2 linked regions of the Rattus norvegicus genome follow. The protein of the gene in region 1 binds, or shares a complex with, the protein of each later gene. Links are inferred from orthologs where the notes say so. Each region holds a gene or a part of one and is shown on either strand. Other genes may lie near its edges.

What was found. The genes of interacting proteins can lie anywhere in the genome.
Region 2: the proteins of Kl (region 1) and Fgf23 are in contact, whole or in part, in a cryo-EM structure (PDB 7YSH), measured with the Homo sapiens proteins. The link is inferred for Rattus norvegicus from reciprocal best matches to the Homo sapiens genes KL and FGF23. Residues at the interface, in NP_004786.2 of Homo sapiens: Phe377, Lys385, Leu389, Glu390, Pro392, Trp417, Phe418, Ser420, Lys429, Tyr432, Tyr433, Lys436, Phe437, Arg468, Ser471, Ile472, Arg556, Arg693, Asn694, Met695, Thr696, Tyr697, Ile735, Val752, Phe755, Asp756, Asn782, Asn783, Leu785, Ile812; in NP_065689.1 of Homo sapiens: Leu39, Met74, Ala80, Val88, Arg91, Leu166, Ile167, Phe169, Asn170, Ile173, Arg175, His177, Asp184, Ser185, Glu186, Arg187, Asp188, Pro189, Leu190, Asn191, Val192, Leu193, Lys194, Pro195, Arg196, Ala197, Arg198, Met199, Thr200, Pro201.

What each region holds. Positions count from the first base shown.
Region 1 is NC_086030.1:5,356,946-5,360,940, reverse strand, and holds part of Kl (klotho precursor), read right to left. Parts: coding exon 3,657-3,995; intron 2,407-3,656; coding exon 2,138-2,406; intron 1-2,137. UniProt on the Homo sapiens protein: May have weak glycosidase activity towards glucuronylated steroids. However, it lacks essential active site Glu residues at positions 239 and 872, suggesting it may be inactive as a glycosidase in vivo.
Region 2 is NC_086022.1:161,598,904-161,603,662, reverse strand, and holds the start of Fgf23 (fibroblast growth factor 23 precursor), read right to left. Parts: upstream 3,225-4,759; 5' UTR 3,099-3,224; coding exon 2,888-3,098; intron 1-2,887. UniProt on the Homo sapiens protein: Regulator of phosphate homeostasis. Inhibits renal tubular phosphate transport by reducing SLC34A1 levels. Up-regulates EGR1 expression in the presence of KL. Acts directly on the parathyroid to decrease PTH secretion. Regulator of vitamin-D metabolism.

The DNA of each region.
Region 1 (3,995 bases):
CTTCGTCTGCCCTGCCCATGAAGGAAGGGGGTCCGGCGAACCCAGTTCTTGAATCTCTGGCCCAGGTTTTGTCAGGTGTGGGCGTGTTGTTCTCCAAGAGCCAGGGCAAGCGCTGTGTTTACGAAGGAGCGCAATCCAAAATAAATAAAAAAAGGGTCTGAGGGAAACTGCCCTCTGGAGACCGTGTCTCATCCTGACGCTGAGGGAATGTGTCAGAAGGCCCCGCCAAATGCCCACAAATGTTTCACAGCCTCAGCTCCACAAGAGAAAATACCCACCTGCCGCGTGGTCTTTTAAGGTCCACGTCTTCAGAACTCTTTCGGACTATTTTTATTCAACTCTGAACGGACTAAATTCGTAACCTCTCTACCAGAGCCATCCCAGAAAACGGTTTCTACTAAGTCTAACTAAAAACAAAATATGAAAGACCCTGTAAGATTCGGGGTAATGGGGTCAGTTCTCTAAACTAGGAAAGCCGTAGAAATGAGTGGGCAGGCAAAAGTCCACCTAATTTAGAGACTTACTGCCTTAGGTTCGACTAAAAAGTTTTTTAGTTTGGGGAAGGATGAGTGCCAAACACATATTTAATTTGTTATTGATAAAAGTTTCTCCTCACAGGAGTGGACAACAGTGTCGCTCCATGTTGTGTGTAATCTGCTTGACTTTGGTCAACCAACAGCATCAGGAGTTCTGAGCAAACTCAGGAGCTGGGACACTGGGTCTGAGCAAAGTGACACGCACCCCTCCCCCATGTGAATGTGCCCAGCTACAAACTTTTTTTTTTTTTTTTTTCGGAGCTGGGGACCGAACCCAGGGCCTTGCGCTTCCTAGGCATAGCGCTCTACCACTGAGCTAAATCCCTAACCCCTCAGCTACAAACTTCTAACAGATGGCGTGTAGCTAGGGGACACACACACACACACACACACACACACACACACACACGCGCGCGCGCGCGCTGCTTTGTTTTGGTTTTTGTCTTTCAAGACAGAGTTTCTCTGTGCAGCACTGGCTATCTTGAAACTCACTCTGTAGACCAGGCTGGCCACAAACTCAGAGATCCACCTGCCTCTGCCTCCTGAGTGCTGCGGTTAAGGTGTGGACCACCGTCACCCGGCTTAGGGGGATATTTTTAATTATTTGGGTAAAATGTACGCCATAACACTTGATTACGGAGCACTAACCAGGAGGGGGAAAGAGAAACTTTAGGGTTTAAAAAAAGAAAATCGGGGTAGCGGTAGAGCGCTTGCCTAAGAAGCGCAAGGCCCTGGGTTCGGTCCCCAGCTCCGAAAAAAAGAACCAAAAAAAAAAAAAAAAAAAAAAAGAAAGAAAAAAGAAAAAAAGAAAATCACTTCTCAAAGTTTCTTGGTGCAGTGGTTAATGTAGAAACTCACAGCTCAGGAACATCTAAGGACAGGAAGGATGTCAGAGCAGAGGTTGGGGAGGGTCAGAGATAGCATCTTTCAGCCATGACTTTTGTCTTCGTCACAAGGGTAACACAGCAACGCACACAGGGTTTTGTACACAATAGGCAGCCATCAAGTGCTTACTTAAATTATTCAGTCAAACCCCAAGAAACAAAGTCACTTTAAAACCAGGGAAACTAAAAAACCGGTTTTGAGGACTTCCTACACAGTTGATGCTCAATAAGTACTAATTGATCATTTTGGAGCACCACAGTGCTATCAATAAATCGTTGAAGCTGTGGTCTGCTCTCTCGAGGTGTTTTCTACGAGCCTGGAGCGGGGCATTTCCGGTGAGGAGGGATCTGTTAAACACTCCAGCCACGTTCTCAGCGGCTTCCCTGAGACTCTCTGGACTTCTGTGTTGAATCTTATTTATGAGAAACTTAACTTCCTGAGCAGGGATTTCAACCATAACCCTAAAGGGGTGTATTGTCTTAACAGAGCTTACATATTCATGTTTTGATTCTGTTTGCCCTTGGATCTAATAGAAAGCACAAGGTGTAGAGCGAAAGATGTTTGAAGACTGAAGCATGCTGGACTATGTAGTTCATAAGTTCTCTAGGGAGCTCTGTTTGGCTCAAAGTTCCTGATGCTGCGCCGCCCTGGCAAGAGCCTGGCGAGGAAGCAGGAGACCTGCTGATACTGCTGACAGGCTTTGTCAACTGACTTACTTGAATGTAGTTGTCAACCACTCCCCAAGCAAAGTCACAGGGAAACGTCCCTTCAAGGGGCTGGTTCTCAGGTAAAGGAGGGAAGCCATTGTTCTCTATCAGCTTTTGGTAGAACAAGGCCGAAGACTTGGGCAACAACTCCTTGTCCTGACTCAGAAAGTCGACATAGAAGAGTCCTCGTCGGATGCTGTAGCCCCTGTGCCACTCGAAACCATCCATGAGGGACCATGCGGTGTACCCAATGACGTCGACCCCATCCAGCCTGATGGCTGCAGAAGGAAGAGAGGACAAGAGTGGTGTCATCCCCCACTGGGCTTTGTGTGATTCAAGAGCAGAGAGGGGTTTTCCACTTAAAGAAACAAGGCAAGGGACTGGAGAGATGGCTCAGTGGTTAAAAGCACTGGCTGCTCTTCCAGAGGACCCAGGTTTGGTTCCCAGCATCCACGTGGTGGCTCGCAACTCTAACCAGTGCACGGGATCCAACGCCCTCTTCTGGCCTCTGTGGGCATCGCATACACACATGCAGGCAAAAACTCACATAGGTAAAATAAAAATGAAATCTCAAAAAAAAAAAAAAGATACAGAAACAAGTCAGATGTAATGCTTCTTGTTTGGTAAACACTTTTTTTTTTTCTGGTTTACAAAAGGCCCTAGCAGTTGCTCAGTACCAGGGGTGCTAGGGTGACTTGTTCCTAACCTGGGGACCTAACATCGTGACCGTGTCTTCTTTTTTTTTCTTGTGCTGTGGATGGGACCAAGGGCCTTGGGTTGCCAGTAAATACTGTATACCTGACCCACTTCCGTAGTCTTTAAAGCTCAATTTATCTAGGTCATATGAATATTCCTTTTGCTTTAAAAAAAAGCGTTTTATTGAAAGAGGGAGCTAGTTGTGGTTACAAATGATCAACATGCATTGTATAAATGTATGGCAATTTTGAAGAATAAAAAAAATTAAAGGAAAAGCATGTTATTCCGCTGAAACAAATGAGCTAGGAATATATACAGAGGGCTCGATAATCTGAGGTTTTTAATACTGTATTATATGATATAATAATGTATCTGAGAGACTGTGAATCCACTGATTCTAAATATTCATCTTGTTTTCAGCAGATTATTAAAATTCCTTTTATGAAACTTCGAAAATTAAGTTTCCGAAGGGTCCAAAAAAGAGCAGGGTTACATAATAGATTCTCCCCACCGCTTAAATTGTGACAAAAATCATATACCCACATTTTGCAGGTAGTCTTAAAAGGTGTATGTGGTATGTTGTGTGTGTGTGTGTGTGTTCCCGTGTATGAGATGTGTGGCACATGTCATATTGATGTGTGTGGTATATGATGTGTGTGTTTAATATGTGATTTTTGTGTATGTGTATATGGTATGGTGTGTATATGATACATATATATGCATGTGTGTGTACAGTATGATATATGTGGTATGTGTGTGGGTGGGTGTGTATGTGGGAGTATGCATGTGTGAATTTTGGCAAAAAAAATGGGAATTTTACTTGAGAGCTTACCTTTTAAGCTTTCCATTATGAACTTCTTGAGATAATACATGTATTTGGCATCATCTCTTCTGGTGGTCCCCGAGACAAACCAGCCATTTTCTACAATAAATATCTGAGGGTGGTTATACTCCAGATCTATCCAAGACAGAAGCTGCCTCAGGCTGGGAGACTCCAGCTGGCGGAACTTCATGCTGGGGTCCAGTAGTTGAAAGCTCAAGGTTGGTCCGAAGGAGAGAGCAAAGAAGTCAGCTGTTCCCCTGATGAATCTCTTCTCGGATTCAGTAAAATCGGGCAGCAGGGATGAGAGGTTGTTCTTCATACTCTTTGGGTAGTCGCCATCGATAAATA
Region 2 (4,759 bases), on another chromosome or scaffold:
CGGACACTCAACTCTAAACCACGAATTTACTAAAGCAAAGCTTTGAAATGGGACTGTAGAAGCATTTGCCTCATTTTGTCTTCCTGAAGCTGTAATGACTTCCAGTACTGCATGCATGTGGTGTGCACACATATATGCAAACAAGACAGTCATACCGATAAAGTACAATAAACGAAAAAAATAAATGAATGAGGTCATAATTAAACCATGCTCTGCTATTTGTAATCGATTAGGAGGAAGATTGTATGACTAGCATGTAAAGACAAGAAGACAAAGAGTCATTCTTACAGAAATGCGCGTAAGCAAGATTTGCACATCAGATTAGTGCTACTCCCCCTCAAAGGCGAAGCTTACACAAGACAGAAATTACACTCAGCTAAAGTCAGGTTAACTCATTTTATTGCTTCTCAGTCACATTCATTCTCCTGGCATCCTCCAGTCCTGGTGTCTGCAAGCTCCCAAGGAAAAAGGCCTGCCATTTCAACTGCTTTCAAAGTAGACTGACCTTACACATCCTTCCTTCCCTACCTCTGGCCTGGATGGACTGTTCCAGACTCACCGCAGAGGGGCCACCTTTCAGCAAAGAAATTCTATGATTCTAGGAACGTTGTATGCGTATTCTCTAATTATAAGCAAATTTCCAATCCATAGAACCAAAATAGTTCACCCTCATCCGCTGTCCAGCCCTTGACATCCCGTGTAGTCCTGCAGCGGAAGTCACGGCTGTCTTCCAGGGAGAGAAATACAATGGCATTTCCTAAAAGTTTGGTAAAGCACTGGGAGATAAGAGGTCTCTGAAGAACTATGTCACACTTCCAGTGACAGAGGGTTGTGTGGTGTCTGGCACCTTGTAGGTCCTGTTCCACAGAGCATGAGCAGTTTGGGGGACCCATGAAGTGTACCCAGATTTACTCCAGATTCTCATCATCAGTCTCAAACCTGACTTCCAAGAGGTAACCCCAAGGTCCCACTTTATTCCCCTGAGTTCTGGAGCATGCCTCATGTTTGGAGAGAATCTTTCTCCTCTTCCTCTCCCTCTCCCTCCCCCTCCCCTCTCCCTCCTCTTCTTCTTTCTTCTCCCCCTTCCCTCCCCTTCCCCCATGTTCCCATCCTCTCCCCATTCCCCTCCCCCTCCCCCTTCCCCTCCCCCTCCTCCCATCTCCTGTCAATGTAGCCTGTAGGCAGGTGTAAGCTGCTGGCTTTGCTTGTGCCGGTCCCTGGTCCCAGGTCCCTGGCTGCTAGGTTTAAGGTCTGTTGGTTTCTAGCAGAGAGAAGGCTGTTTGCACACACAGCAAGGCCACATCCAGGAAACAGGCTCACTTATTAGAGCAGCACTGAGCGATCGTAATCCTTACAGAACATTTTTTAGTGAGGGACAAGCTACCACTGCTCAGTGCTGTACACGGCACTGAACCCCACTAATCTTCTGTACCCTGAACCCCGCTAATCTTTTGTACCCTGAACCTCGCTAATCTTCTGTGCCCTGAACCCCACTAATCTTCTGTACCCTGAACCCCGCTAATCTTTTGTACCCTGAACCTCGCTAATCTTCTGTGCCCTGAACCCCACTACATCTTCTGTACCCTGAAGGCCACTACATCTTCTGTACCCTGAACCCCGCTAATCTTCTGTACCCTGAACCCCACTACAACTTCTGTACCCTGAACCCCACTACATCTTCTGTACCCTGAACCCCGCTAATCTTCTGTACCCTGAACCCCGCTACATCTTCTGTACCCTGAACCCTGCTACATCTTCTGTACCCTGAACCCCGCTACAACTTCTGTACCCCTTTGGAGAAACTTTTCAGTTTTCTTTTGTTTTGTTTTGCTCTGTTTGTATGGCCGTCTTGTCTGCATGTATCTCTGTGCACCACATTTGTGCAGTGCCATCGGAGGGCAGAAGAGGGCATTGGATCTCCTGGAAGTGGAGTTACAGACCACTGTAAGCTTCCACTTGGGTGCTGGACTGAACCTGGACCAGCTGCAAGAGCAGCCAGTGCTCTTAGCTGCTGAGCCATCTCTCCAGCCCTATTTAGAATTCTTTATACGTCTGTAAAATAGAAAATATGTCGTTTCCAATTCCTGTCTCTCTTGTTACTCTGTTTTCTATGTATTATTCCTTACACTGAAAGGGGATCTCAGTTGAATAATCTAGTTGATTGGCACGTATAGCTTGCGATCCAATCTTCCATAGACTCTATCCTTAAGAATATTCCAATTGTTTCATATCACCAGTGAGTTCACCACCAGGCAATAAGTTTTATAAGCAACTAAACACATTTCAGCTTCTCAGAGAAGACCCACCAACCACACAGGGTGCCTCTGAAGCACCCTGCATGCCGCTGGGTGGATGCATTCAGTTAGACTTGCCAAGACGACACATCTTAGTGGTCTGTCTTTAACATAATGTCCCTCGAGAAAGGTTTTGTTTTGTTTGAGACAGTCTCACTATATAACCCTGACCAATCTCCCAGTTAAGTTCTGTCTGGCTTATTCTTTACTTTGAGTCCTTGTCTTCCTATTCATTTTTCCCTCCAATTCCTGAACCGATGGAAAGAAAATCAGCTCTCATTATTGGAAATGGGTTACAACAGTTATTATTCAGGTTGAGAAAAACCTGTATGTCAAATAAAGAGGATGGAAAAAAACCCTTCCTCTTAGGTTTTACACACACACACACACACACACACATACACACACACACACACACACACACACACACACACACACACACAGAGAGAGAGAGAGAGAGAGAGAGAGAGAGAGAGAGAGAGAGAGAGAGAGAGAGAGACCTATGCATACAAGGAGCTACAAGGCTTCCCCAATACCTCTGTAGGTCAACAGTAGAGAGTTTCTCCTCTTCCCAACCTGGAGCCCATACTCACTGTAGATAGTCTGATGGGGTGTTCCGTCTACATGGCCATCCCTATGGATCTGTAGGTGATAGCTGTTCCTGGCTGTAGCTGTGTACAGGTGGGTCAGGCTCCCCCAGTTGGAGCCAAGCAGTGGGGAAGTGTCTGAATAGGCTCTAGCAGTGCCCAAGCTGCAGACGGTGCACAGAGCGCCCACCAGGAGTCTGAGGCAGGCCCCCAGCATCGCACAGCGCTGAGTGGCTATTGCTGAGGTTGAAATCTGACACTCCCAGACAGCCTGGGACCTCGCTGGCCTTACTGTCTTCTTCCTAGGAAGAAGCTGAGAACTGAGGTGGGGATCCTGGGCTAGATTCCCTCCTTTTTTCCCTGGGACTTTTAAAGGGTGGTGGTATGACATCAAGTAGGAAAAACAATGCTGCCACATCCTCTGTGTTGTAATCATCCATTCGAAGAAAAAGCCCAGACTTCTTAGGCTTGCGGAAGGCGCGTCAGTTCCAGGCACACACACACACACACACACACACACACACACACACACACATGCACGCACACACCCCTCAATTTCAAGCCAGTGCTCTCATAAGTGAACGATGTGTGGGCAAAAGTTATCTGTGACCCTGGGTCATCTGTTGACCTGTCCCACTTCCATCAGGAAATGTGAAGGCAGCCAGCAGTGCTAAAACAAAAAAAACAGAAAACCAGAAAGCCGCCTCCTCGCTAACTCATCTCCCTCCAGTGTACTTGTTTTGGTTTGCTCAAGCCTTCTACCTCCAGCAGCCAAGTGTGTGCTTGGAGCTACTCCGGGCTGCTGCAGGTGTCTTAATAGATAGAGATATGGGATGCTAGCAGGCAAACGAGACTCCCCCTATACACATACCTCAGGAAGGGTGAGTTAGGTGGGAGCAGAGCTCACCCCCCCCCCCATTACCATTCGCAAAGACCTCAAGACAAGAAGAAAGAAAACAAGGTCTTGAGGTCAGCAAAAATGGCAAGATCTGGTTTCTCAGTTTCCCTCGTTTGGATGACGCAGGGAACTAAACTGGCAATTATGGCTTTGCCAATAGGAAGGAGACTCATTTGGAGGACTGGAATGGCACTGCTGGCTGATCAGAGGGGTTAGAGGTCAGGAAACATCCAGGAGCTGCAGGACTGGGCACTTCCCCATCCGGAGTCCACATCCTGGGACCTTGTGTGAGTGGACGCCTCACTGCAGAAATTGCTCTGCGCGTGCCCTCTGAGGAGGTGCATCTGACTCAGCTGTGTGGGATGTGGGGAAGGAGGTTGAAGGCAGAACTAACACACACAGTCTATTGGAGGGCAGGCTGTTAGAACAGATATCAGTTCTGTTAGAATAGATATCCTATGACCACAAGGAGTGTTGTCACTCAGTGTCCCAGGTTACTGAGTTCCTACAATGCATAAGTGTTCCTTAAGATAGACTTCAGCGCTGATGAAAGAGAGAGTAAGATGTTACAAATCCAGCGGAGGAAGCAGATAAAGACAATTAGCCTTGTGCAAAGCACACAGATGCTTGCACATGGCTGAGGCTAGTAGCGATGCCCCTTCCACCTCCAATTCCAGTTGGGTCCAGGTTTCTGCAGTTTACAGAGTGTTTTCTCATCTGCTAGTACTTTGAACTTCATTGCAACTCTATAAGACAGGCGCACCATGCTACTAATGTTTGAAATATGTATTTATTATTAACTTACTTATTTACCAAGACAGGGTCTCACCATGTAGCCCTAACTGGCTTCTCACTCAACGGAGCTCTGCCTGCTTCTGTTTCCTGATAGCTGCGATTGATGATGTGCTCATTAAGGCTGGTCTTCAAAAAAAAAAAAGTGTGAGTGTGAGTATGCGTGTGTGTGCATGCGTGCATGCATA